Linked DNA regions of Caenorhabditis elegans. The protein of the gene in region 1 interacts with the protein of each later gene in a pairwise test. Each region holds a gene or a part of one and is shown on either strand. Other genes may lie near its edges.

What was found.
Region 2: the proteins of math-14 (region 1) and arrd-6 interact in a two-hybrid assay, tested with the Caenorhabditis elegans proteins (one large-scale study listed by BioGRID).

What each region holds. Positions count from the first base shown.
Region 1 is NC_003280.10:1,867,478-1,871,309, reverse strand, and holds math-14 (MATH domain-containing protein), read right to left. Parts: upstream 1,891-3,832; 5' UTR 1,888-1,890; coding exon 1,775-1,887; intron 1,728-1,774; coding exon 1,450-1,727; intron 1,233-1,449; coding exon 1,106-1,232; intron 1,056-1,105; coding exon 620-1,055; 3' UTR 505-619; downstream 1-504. Other genes in the region: math-15 (MATH domain-containing protein), read right to left, coding at 3,527-3,832.
Region 2 is NC_003280.10:11,141,316-11,149,171, forward strand, and holds the start of arrd-6 (Arrestin C-terminal-like domain-containing protein), read left to right. Parts: upstream 1-1,581; coding exon 1,582-1,641; intron 1,642-4,527; exon of another isoform or gene 4,528-4,595; intron 4,596-5,878; exon of another isoform or gene 5,879-6,103; intron 6,104-6,201; coding exon 6,202-6,261; intron 6,262-6,356; coding exon 6,357-6,552; intron 6,553-6,883; coding exon 6,884-7,020; intron 7,021-7,075; coding exon 7,076-7,425; intron 7,426-7,746; coding exon 7,747-7,856.

The DNA.
Region 1 (3,832 bases):
TTTACAATGCAATATTTAATACAAGGATTCAACATCTAAGATTGTTCTGAAATTTTTTAATAGAATCCAGAACCACAGTCATGATAGTATTGACAGAGAGCAGAGTATAAGCTGAATGTGCAGGGCAGAAAAATTGACACCAAAGAAGACTCACAGAACATGCATCTTATCAGTGAACAAGTGTACCAATAAGGAAGTTGAAATTGAAAGTAGCAATATAACTTTTCATGGAAAAAAAAAATTTCTTGGAGCCAAGTCGAATGAAAAGTGAATGATGGGTGAAGCTCAAGTACTAGAAAATTGTTCAAAACCGCTTTAATTATAACAGGAAACCTCCTCACAATCAGTCATAGAAAGCCTCTGAGAGGAAATTGAAAATCGAGCGTATAGTTCTTTATCGGTAGAAGTTCTTCCTTATAGTTAGATTGTTCATGTCATGTGAAAAGTGCTCATTATTTAGTGCTATACGTAGGTTCATATTGATTTCAACGCTAATTTCCCTTTTTCAACTCTTATAAAAATCTTTATTTCCATCGAATAATGATATTGGAAAATTGATACTTAGAAAAGAGCACAGACAGTAATAGTCGACGGAAGCAATTTAATGAAAATTGATAATTTATTGTTTCTTCACAGTGTAATTTTGCCCTCCGACATTGATCACACACTCAGAGAATTCATCTTCTAAATTATCACTACTCGAATCATTTTCTGAATGGGATTCGCTCGAATCGTCTTCTTCATTCTCACTGCTGGATTCGTCGTCACTTTCTTCAAGACTAGTGATTTTTCCACGAGCTTCAATAATGATACTACCATTCACCATATACTTCTCTTCCATGTCATCCCATCTCATGAATTTTTGAAAACCTTCACCCGATGGATAAATAAACAAGTCTGAATCACTAAAAGTCAAGCTCTGTCCATTCAAAGACACCAATCTTAGTTCATAATCTAATTCGATACTCCAAGATTTTCCAGGATCCTCACAATCCTCTTTTTCACATCTCAAAAATAATCCAAAAAATCCATCATCTCTTTTAATTTGCATTCTCCTTAAATTGAATATAGTTTGAACTAATGTACATATTATTCAATAAAAAACCATGGAATATTGTGACGTATCGTTGTTTCAGTGTAATAGTCGTCTCCTTCTTCAATGCTTGAAATATTTCTAACAGTACTGCTTAAAAGAAACGTTTTTGAATCCTCGTCTTCGTCGCATGGTAAGTCTGTAAAAAGTGTTATAGACAGAAATATAATAATCATTTACAGTCTAAAAATATGTCTGCGTCTTTCTTAATATATGATAAATACTTATAGTGCTACTAAAAAATACTTGTATTCCAAAGGTCATAGACACTCACCAGTCTAAAATTTTGAAAACATTTTTTCAAGCTTCAGAGCAAGTAACCAAGTTTTTTCGTAAAAAATGAAAGTCGAACTCACCAGTTATTTTAATTATTTTGACATGAGCTTCAACTACAACACTATCATCAACTACATAATCACTTTCCAATAAATCCCAACTAGTGTTCAGACCACCATCGAATATATTTGAATTATTGAAAGTGAACTTTTTGCTTTCCATCAAACTTTTCCCGTTGTGTGATACTAATTTCATCGTCCAATCAGTTTCAATCGACCATTCTCTGTTGTCCCAATTGTTTTTTTCACATTTCAATCCAAGACTAAATTCATCGTCACACTTAGCGATGCACATTCTCCTAAAGCACGTTCACCATTATTTCTTAAAACGTTTATCAAACAAAACCATGGAATATTGAATCGTTCTTCTGTGTCAGTGTAGTATATCTCTTCATCCACAAATCGTGAAATATTTTTGACAGTCGCGCTTAAGCTGAACTCTTTGCACAATTTAGACATTGTTCTGAAAACTTTTTCATATTACAGTAAACGTATGAACGTACGTTCTCTGTAATATGAAAAAAAATACACACATGTGAAAATAACAAAACAAATTTAATTATAAAAATCAATACTCAAAGAGAGCAAAAAAAAAAGGAGACGGAGCAATTCGATAGGTCTGAAGAAACATATGCAAGGGGACGATTTAAAAATGAGTTCTTATCAATGAAAAAAAAATTCCTAATATGGTGCAATTGACAGTTTAATGTAAAAATGTCAATTTTGCAAAATACAATGAGAAATTTTGTTTAGTTGCATGAAAGTTCAGAACTAAAACATATAATTTTTGGAACAAATAATTTTCAAACAAATGAAAAAACACTTTCAGAAAATCAGTATGGCGCTATAAATGTAGTTGTTTTATAATTTAAAACTCTTTCTTAGATTGTGCAAATATGCCAGTTTGATGGAGAAAAAATGAGGAATCTGTTAGGAAATTTTCAGAATTACTTGTTCCATTAAGATTTTTCACTCCAAGAAAACCGGCTGACGCCGATTCCTGAACTCAAAAATTACAAAAAATTCCTCATACCTTCAAAACCTTTATAAAAAATCACTGATAAGAGTATACTTATAGTCGTTTCCTAATAGTGTTGCTACGTTTAAAATGTCTATTCATTACAGTTTGAATGGCTTATTTCAACAATTTTTTCTATAATATCTTGATATCAACTTTCTTTTGAAAAAATTGACCAAACTATGAAACTGTTAAAAATATCCTAAGATTTGTGGATAGAGAGGACTACCCCACCGACATGGAAGAACGAGTCAATATTCCATGGTTAACATTACAGTTGATTTTCACAATATTTATAAAAACGGAAAATTTCAGCACTGAAATTTATAAAAATTTTCACCGACTCAGCTTTCAAAAACAGATAATACAATGGGATTGTCTGAAAATCCTGAATAACATGTCTTTATTAGACACAGCTCTATTGTCAGTGCTCCATATAAAAACAGGCTCCTGTAACAGGGATAAATTCACAATTCATTCAACATGAACTTCATCATCTACATTCTTGTCCTCATCGCATGTGCTCCAGCTGCTGTAAGTTTTCCCATTTTAGGCCTTTCTCCAAATGTTTTTTTTCAGATATCGATTTCCCACCAATTCCGGGAGTTATTGGAGGGTTTGGAGGAACAATTCCAGGAGAGACGGATGATTCAGGAATGTTTGAAGAAGTAGGAGCAGGAGTAAGAAAAGCAATTCCGGCAATTCGGAAAGTCGTGGGCGATGAACCAGCTAGAATTCCAGGAATAGTTGAAGAAGTCGGAGCTGCAGTTAGAAAGGCAATCCCAGGAATTCCGTCAACTGTATGAGCCTTTTTATTAACTGTGACATGTTTGAGATAAATATATTAAACATTATGAATACATATTTTTGGTTCCAAATGGGAAAACAAGAAATGTGTGACCAAATTTAGGTTCTGCTTTTTCTCTTTTTTTTTCAATTTCTTTACATTCAACCATTGCTCAAGATAGGTAAGGTTTAATTGATTTATGTAGAGAGTGCAAAACTAACGTTCATTTTAGGTTGAAAATAGAGAAGTTTCATATCACAGTGATAAAAATGAATTAGAATGAAAAATGCAGTCTATTGTCTTTTTACAGAATAGTTTTTCCCTCCAACATTGATCACACAGTCAGAGAATTCATCATCCAAATCATCAATACTTGTTTCATCTTCACATCCAATCGTTTTGGTTATCTTAACACGAGCTTCAATAATGATACTGTCGTTCACCATATACTTCTCTAGCATATCATCCCATCTTATGAGTTTACCATAGCCGTAACCAGAAGGCTCTTCGAAAATTGATGTGCTAGTGAGATTCAAGCTCTGTCCATTTTGAGACAACAATCTTAGATCATCCTTTACTTCAATTGTCCAGCTTCTCCT
Region 2 (7,856 bases), 9.3 Mb from region 1:
ATTCCAATTTCCTTGATAACCAAGAATCTGTCAACCAAATCTTGAGATCTTTTGGTGTTGCCGACTTTGATTTTCTTATACATATATAGCTTTTTAGCAAATTGACTTCTTGGCTTTTTAAATATTTCAGCTCAAATTGTACATTTATATAATTGTCACATAAACTGGTTTCAAAAAGCTATAAGACTAGGAGTTTGATAAACCTTATTTACACATTCCGAACTTGTCAAGTTGGAACGAGTGAGTAAGTGTATGGCATTTCATCAAGAAGCTTTTTTTTCCCTAATGGCGTGGGTGGATGTGTTTTCTGACTAGAGGTTTTTAAAAAATAAGAGAACAACTTTTGATATTTATTCTAGACACTAACTGTGTTGTTTTTTTAAAATGCATGTGTAGTCAAACATTTTAGAGGTTTATCCATGCGACATTTTTTAAATTTCTGAAAAACCACAGTTTCCAAATTTTGGTAATTTGCCAAAACTTTGTTCAACAAACTAGATACAATTTATAGAATTATAATATGATAGATTGTAATTTCTTCGATTATTTCATAAACATAAATAATTAAAATCGCAAGAGCATAATTTTTTACATGTGAAAAAATTTTATTTGATATTCTTGCTTGTGATTTTTAGTGCCCTCAATTTTTTCGACCACATTTTTTTTCGGGCAATAGGTTTTTGTAATTTTTTTCTTCACTTTTATACTTTTTTGCATTTTTTTGCAATTAACCTTATAGTATCAAACATAAATAACAGTTGTTAAAAATCAATTTTTCCATTTTTCAAATATTATAATACCTTTAATTTTTTATTTTCTTGTAAGCCCTGCTGGTTCTGTCAAACTTCAAATTTCAATCAAAAATTTTCCAATTCTCAAATGTGCGTGGGTTGTTGATGACAGAAGTTCTATGTCAGTCCACAAATCTAGTATGCAAAGAGTGCCAAATGCCAGAAATACATACATACAAATCACCAACCTTATCGGTTTAACATATCACCTGTCTAGGGCATATATAGGTTGAGGGCTTATTGAAATTCGGCGGCTATGCTATTTGAGTCGATTCGTAAATTTGAGTAGTTTTGAAATTATTTTAAACTACAAATTTCTCGAAACTTCAGCTCTAGATTTTGATCATCATCATTGTTTCCTTCTTTTCTTCTTTTTTTTAAGTTCAAAATGTCTCTCCTTGAGTTTTGGTAATTTGTGAAGTTATATCGATTACCATGGCTGCATCTACATACGTCATAAAATCATGCCAAAACACTTCCATTTTTTGATGATACTTCTTCCTTCTTTTCTGCTTTTCAACTCCTCGTGCCTATCCTCCACGCGTGTGCCCATTGCTCCTCATTGCCGCGCTTTTTGCTCAATTTCCCACTGGGACCATGGGGTCGAGTCCGAGTCGACATAAATCTCGAAGAGTGCTGTTTGCACTACATAGTCTCTTTTTTTGTTGCTCCTCCACACACTCCTTTTCACCCTATTCGTCCCAAGAAGTACTCAATCTGATTAGAAAAAAGCCGGGTGAGAGCAAGCTGGAAATAGAGGCACACACGTGAAGGAAATCAGGAGGAGGATATGGCTGAAGAAAAGAAGGAAACAATGATCAGTACGCTACTCGAGAAGCACTATTTCCAGGTCAGATCCCAAGAGGAACGTTCATCAAATGAGCAAAAAGGGCATTCTTTCCTGTTTCTCGTTCCAACCAATTTTTCATTCATTCTCGTGCATATTTTGTCTGTGAAAATTTTCGTTTTATTTCACACTATGTGAACTCAATTTTATTCGCAAAACTGCAAAACAAATCCGGTTTCTAATACTTGAAAAATCAAATTTTTAGTTCACTGTATTTTTCCGATTTGTCTTGTACCCTCACTTTTCGTTTTTGAGTGCTCATATCCTAGTTGCTATTGGTTTAATTTGAAAAGCAGATAATCAACTATAGTTAACTACGAAAGACTTCCTCAAATGTTTTAAAATCAATTTTTGGAATTGTCTGAAATTTGAGAAAATTAATTAGTCTCAAATTGCACACAAATAGAAGATTCTGATAAATCACTATTATATAATTTTTTAAAGCTTTGGAGCAAAAGCCATTCAAATTTCAACTTTCTAAAATATTTTTAGATTCGATACTGTATGGAATTTTTTCTTTTGAACTTTTACACTTTTACAATAATTCTAATCCAGTTCAAACTTAGTTAATTAATTGAAAAAATCGCCTAATTTTTTTCAAGTTTTGGAACAAATTTTGATAAATTTTGACTGATTTTGATTGGCTTTCTTCAGAGAAAATTAAGGGAAATCTACTCAAAGAGTTGATCTTCATTTAAGTAATTTAGAACAGAATAACAATTTTCAAAATAAAAAAAAAGTTCGAATGTTCGAAAGTTTCGAATTTAGTTCGAATTTTTAAACTTTCCCCCAAAAAGGGCTTACGTCGGTTTTTTCTTAATTTTTGAAAACTATGGAATAAAATAATATTTTCTAACAATCACTTGTTCCATCCCATCTTCCAAAAAAACATTTTTTCTTCCACTGTGCTCATTGACAATGAGTAATCACTATATGTTTACTGTGTTCATTATAAAATTCATTCATTCTTCGTCTTCATCTTATTTTTCGTCACACACATATACATGCTCTTCGGGTCTTTACAAATTGTATTCGACTCTATCTTTCTCTCTTTCAATTCTTCTATTTTTTTGTCGACTGGTTTTCCATCTCATCCTGACCGGGACATGTCTCATGAGATTTATCGCGTTGCCATGGATTTAGCTCTCTTTGCTTATTACATTTTCTATCGCAAAAACGAGAGAGAGAGAGAGAGAGAATGGGAGGAGGAGTCTGGTATGCATCCGGAAAATTTGATGTTTCCAGTTTTGAGCACCGACGTTGCGATTTTGTTGCATTTTTGAAAATTTCTTGTAAAATCGGAAAGACTTCCGAAATCGCAAAATCCAATAGCAACATAAATACTAGCGCACATTTTCTTAGAAGACCCAAGATTTCCCTTCAAAATAAAAGAGAAATCCCAGAAGAAAATTTTTAAAATAGTACAGTTACAGAATCCCAGAAACAAAATAATTGCCAGGAAAATACTAAAATATTTTCGGCGGACTTGATGCTTGCAAATTGATAAACTCATTGGTATTAGTTTCCAGATTGTAAACCGTGAAACTTTAAACTTTTTGTGTAGAAGTTCACAAAGGTCCTTGAGACCGATATTCAAACCAGGTAAACGATTTTTTTTTCGCAAATCGGCAAATCGGCCAATTGCCGGAATTGAACATTTCCAGCAAAGCAAACGGGCAAATTGTCGAACTGCCAAATTTGTCGACAAAAAAGTTTGCCAAACGTCTATTGCCGCCCACCCCTGCTTCAATCCCCATTTTTCTTTTCTGACCAGGCAAGTAGCAGAAGCCGACCGGTGCCTCAACACCTTTGAATCCGTTGAAACTCGTAATTCTAAAAAAAAAAGAAATTTTTAAAATGATTCCAAATATTATAGTTTTGTTACACAATGAATCAAGTCCCTGCAATTTCTGAAAACAAGTGATTTTACCCGTAAATACCCGCCATTTGATAGTATCATGTAATCACTATAGAATAATCCGATAGATCTCTACCCATATATCCAGCTAATCTCCTTTATCCCAAAAACCCTTTTCTTCCACTTTTGTCAACCTTCTCTCTCGATCCACTCAAAGTAGTCGTTCTCCAGTATCATGTTACACAAGAAGCTGTCGTCGAGAGCTGTGCTGCTGCTCCAAAAAGTTTCGACTTCATTTCACACATTTTGCCCAGGCTCTCCAACGCCTTCTGCCCTTTTTACCTGCTTCATTAATTGCCGGAAATAGTGTGCAAAAAGGCGGAGAGGGGGCTCTCAAACACCCAACAAGAGATATTGTGTTGCTTTCTCTTCTTTACGCCTTCTTCTTCTTTTCCATCTCATTCTATTGCTTTTTCGTTCCTCATTCATATGTACGTGTATATCCGCTCTGTCTCTATATATCTTGACCTAGCTATTTCCGTTTTTTTCCCTGACACTTTTTTTGGTAAATGAGCATTGGACCGAAGAAATTTGGATTCAAATTCCAAGAGTTACCATTTCGCCTTTTGGTGAACCTCATGAGTTTCAGTTTTCAGTTTTGAACAGCCCAAAAAAACCAGAAAGTTCTAGGAGTTACTGTATAGCTGCTACTCAAATACAATTCAATTTTTCTTTAATTTTCCAATAATTTTTCCTCTCCCTATTTATCATTCTATTGACCTTCTATTCTGCATCCACCCTCACTGCCCGCAATTACAGAATCTTCAATTTATTTTTTTCGCGTTGCTCTTTTTTTCGGAGCATTGCAATTTCCTATCGGCGCGCATCTATAATTCACGTCACCATAAACAAAGATGCACTTTTTTCCAAGTTTTCTATCGTTTTCAATCAAGTAGGAAATTGGGACTTCAGAACGAAGTCTGTCTTATTTGGAAATTTTTGTATTCAATGGTTTAACACAAGTATTTAAGCTCTACCTCCTGAAAATTCAGTCTGAAATAACTTCAGTGCATTTTTTCTCAGGATTCGAATACAGCAGGTTCGTTCCAAAATCAGCATATTTTTGGTGAACTGGAAAATGTTAAGAAATATTTATTTATACCATTTAAAACATGTCTAAAATCAAATCTCAATTCCATAACAATCCTGAAGGTAAACCTTCACTTTTTGTCACCTGATAATAATTTCTCCCTTCTCTGGGAAAGCGTCTCGGAAATTTATTAAAATTCGTTTTGTGAATTTTTGATTTCTCTTGAGAAAAATTGGAGTTTCTGATTCAGCCTGTCTTGTGATATTTGGATATTTGATGAAGGGAATATTGTTCGTAGGTAGGCTGTGACTGAGCACGAGGACATTTTTTTCTGATTTTGTAGTGTTTTGACAGAATTTTATAGTGAGTTATGCAAAAAAAGATTATCAAAAATCCAAAATATGATTTTTTGCGGAATGCTTACTGCTTACAGGGGCCAATTTTTATTGAAGTTTTGCAAATTATTTAAATGAGTATAATTTAAAAACCAAGAGCAAAGCAACAAGAATATTGCCATAATTCTGCGGCCGACATCTTAGAGACCCTTATTTGTTTCAGAAGCTGGCTTCCAAAATTTTGATAATAAATTAATCTTCAAGTTATTGTATTTTCTCAGGAATATTCCTAAAAATAATTTAATAATTACAGAATTTTTGTTGGTAACCTTTGTCCAAGTTTCCTATTTTTTGAAATGTGTAGAAACATCTAAAGTGCCAGTCACAATGATGGGACATGAACAGATTCTAAATATTTTTTAAAATATTTTTTCCCGCGGCTAAGTATGTAATGTGGGATTATATCTCTATCTTTTTGTTTAGTTCTTCTTTCTTTTTCCTTTTTTTTCCTCCCATTCGTCCACATCTCCGACAGATACAATTCCAGAAGATTAGAGGAGAAAGAGAGATGAGGCATCAGAAGAACAATTCTTATTCTTCTAGCAAACTAGGACAGAGAGAGAGAGAGAAAGGTAGAGAAAGGAGAAGAAGCTCAAAGTTTTTTATGGCTCTTCTTCTCCGATTAGAGAGTACTCAGCACCAGATACCGTGACTCTCATTTCCATTTCCGATTCGACTTTACGATGCTCCGTGCACCACAGAAAACCTTTTCTTCTTCTTATTCTTCACTTTTTACGTCTTCTCTGAAGAAATTTCTAGATCTTATGCGTGCCATAATACCATTAATCTTCTTTTTTTTTCTCACAATTTCCAGTTTTTTTTCAAAAACAAATTGTCAAAACACATTTTTTTCATATGACCTGATAAATATAATTAATTATCGTTGAAAATTCAAATTCAAATTATTTCATTTTCCTGAGGCTTCAATGTAGGCACCGAAACCTACCTGCCTGTCTGGCCTTAAGGGGACCTACGCCTGCCTTGCGTCTCAACCGCGAGAGTGGCAGGTTTCAGGCAGGCGCCAGGCCCTGAAACTGTGCTTACCATCGAAATCCTAACAAAAAAACCTGTTTTAACCTAAAACGAAAACATTGAATATTTTGAACATACCTGAACCATGCTTAATTCCTAGTGCGAGTTACTTTTTTCCTGAATGAAATTATTTTTGGTTTGTGCCCAAAAAGTGTTAATTTTCTAATTTTTAATAAAAATACTTCCAGGTTGAGGAGCAGAAATCCGGCATGGACTACATATCCAGTTTCGACATTAGGCTCAATAAGGTTTGTCGCGCGAGAAAAAGTCCAAACAGCTGGAAAACACAAACAACAACAAAAATATTGCCTCCCCACACAACGTATGTATGTATGTATTTCAGGACGTCTACTACGCCGGCGAGACAATCAGTGGAAGTGTGCTGTTGGAGAACACGGAGAACATCAAAATACGTGGTATTCGGGTGTTGCTACGTGGCAAAGTGCATGCCACGTTGAAAGTGGTCAAGTCTGGTGAACGGAGGACGTTGAAAGACGATCAATATGTGCTGGATGAGAAACAGTTGCTATGGGGGAAAGGTGAGTGATAATGGACACTTCAACTTTGGCAGCCTATACATATGCCAGTTGTCGTTCGACCTATACAAAAATTGTCAACTAACTAAATATTTGTTTTTCCTCCTTCTATCGTTTTGTAGTTGATAACTTATTGATATCTCAAAAATAAGCCCAGATGTATCCTTTCAAAGTGAAGTAGTGAAAAAGTACTTGAAAGGTTGTTTCAGATTACGTGACCAAATTTGTGAAAATCTGTAAAATTTATCTTGTTCATGAAAATTAATTTAAATCTGAATTCAAAATAATTATTGATTTTCTAGACGTTTCTTTTAACGTACACCAGAATTTCCAGATAAAAGCGATGAATCAGACAGTGTCCCAATTCTTGCTCGCGGAGTTCATCAGTTTTCCTTCAACTTTGACCTCCCACAATCTTCATTACCGTGTTCATTGGAGAGTAGGCATTGTACAATTCGATATTATTTCAAGGTATTACATACATATTTCAGAAGTAGAATCAGTACAGTTAATTTTAAAATTCCAGGTAATAATTGACATTCCATATGCATCATCTCCTCAGGGAATCAAATATTTTACGATAATCGGTCCACATATCGACAGTATGGAAGAGAAATATTTAAGCCCATTATCAGCTCAAGATCGAAAAGTGAACTGTTGCTGGTGTTGCCAGCGGGGCGCGCTCGCACTGCGAATAATTCTGGAGCGGACGGCGTACGTGTGCGGCGAGAACATTCGTGTCCGAGCCCAGATTGAGAACAGGCAATCCACGGCGCAAAGCCTCGTTATCCGTCTTGTGCAGCACGTCGAGGTGTTTGTCGAAAAGGGACTTTTGGGCGAGAACAAGATGATGTCATGTGTGGTGTTCGAGCACAAGTGAGTGAGCCGGTTTTAGAAATGTCATTTGCAGAGTCGTGCAGAGATTTTAATGTACATATACAATTTTAAGAATCTAAAATTTTTCATATTCTCAATTGAAGCTTAAAAAGAAAACATGTCATATTTTGTATATCTAGGTTTTTTTTGGTTTTGCAAAAAACTATCAAATGGCAAAATAAGTGCAAAATATTTTTTCAAATTTTTAGATTGAAGAATTTTCTGATAGAACTTAATACAATCGAAATATAAGCTGTCAAAGTAAAGCATGCATCAGTATGAGAAAAAGATTGTCCCTGAAAAAGATTGAACGTTTTCCAGGTCCCCCGCCATCGCTGCCAACTCTCAAGGAAAGTACGATTCGACGCTGGAGCAGCCGATCCGATTGCCAGTGGTACCACCAACGCTAGTCGGTGTTTGCCGTCTTATTC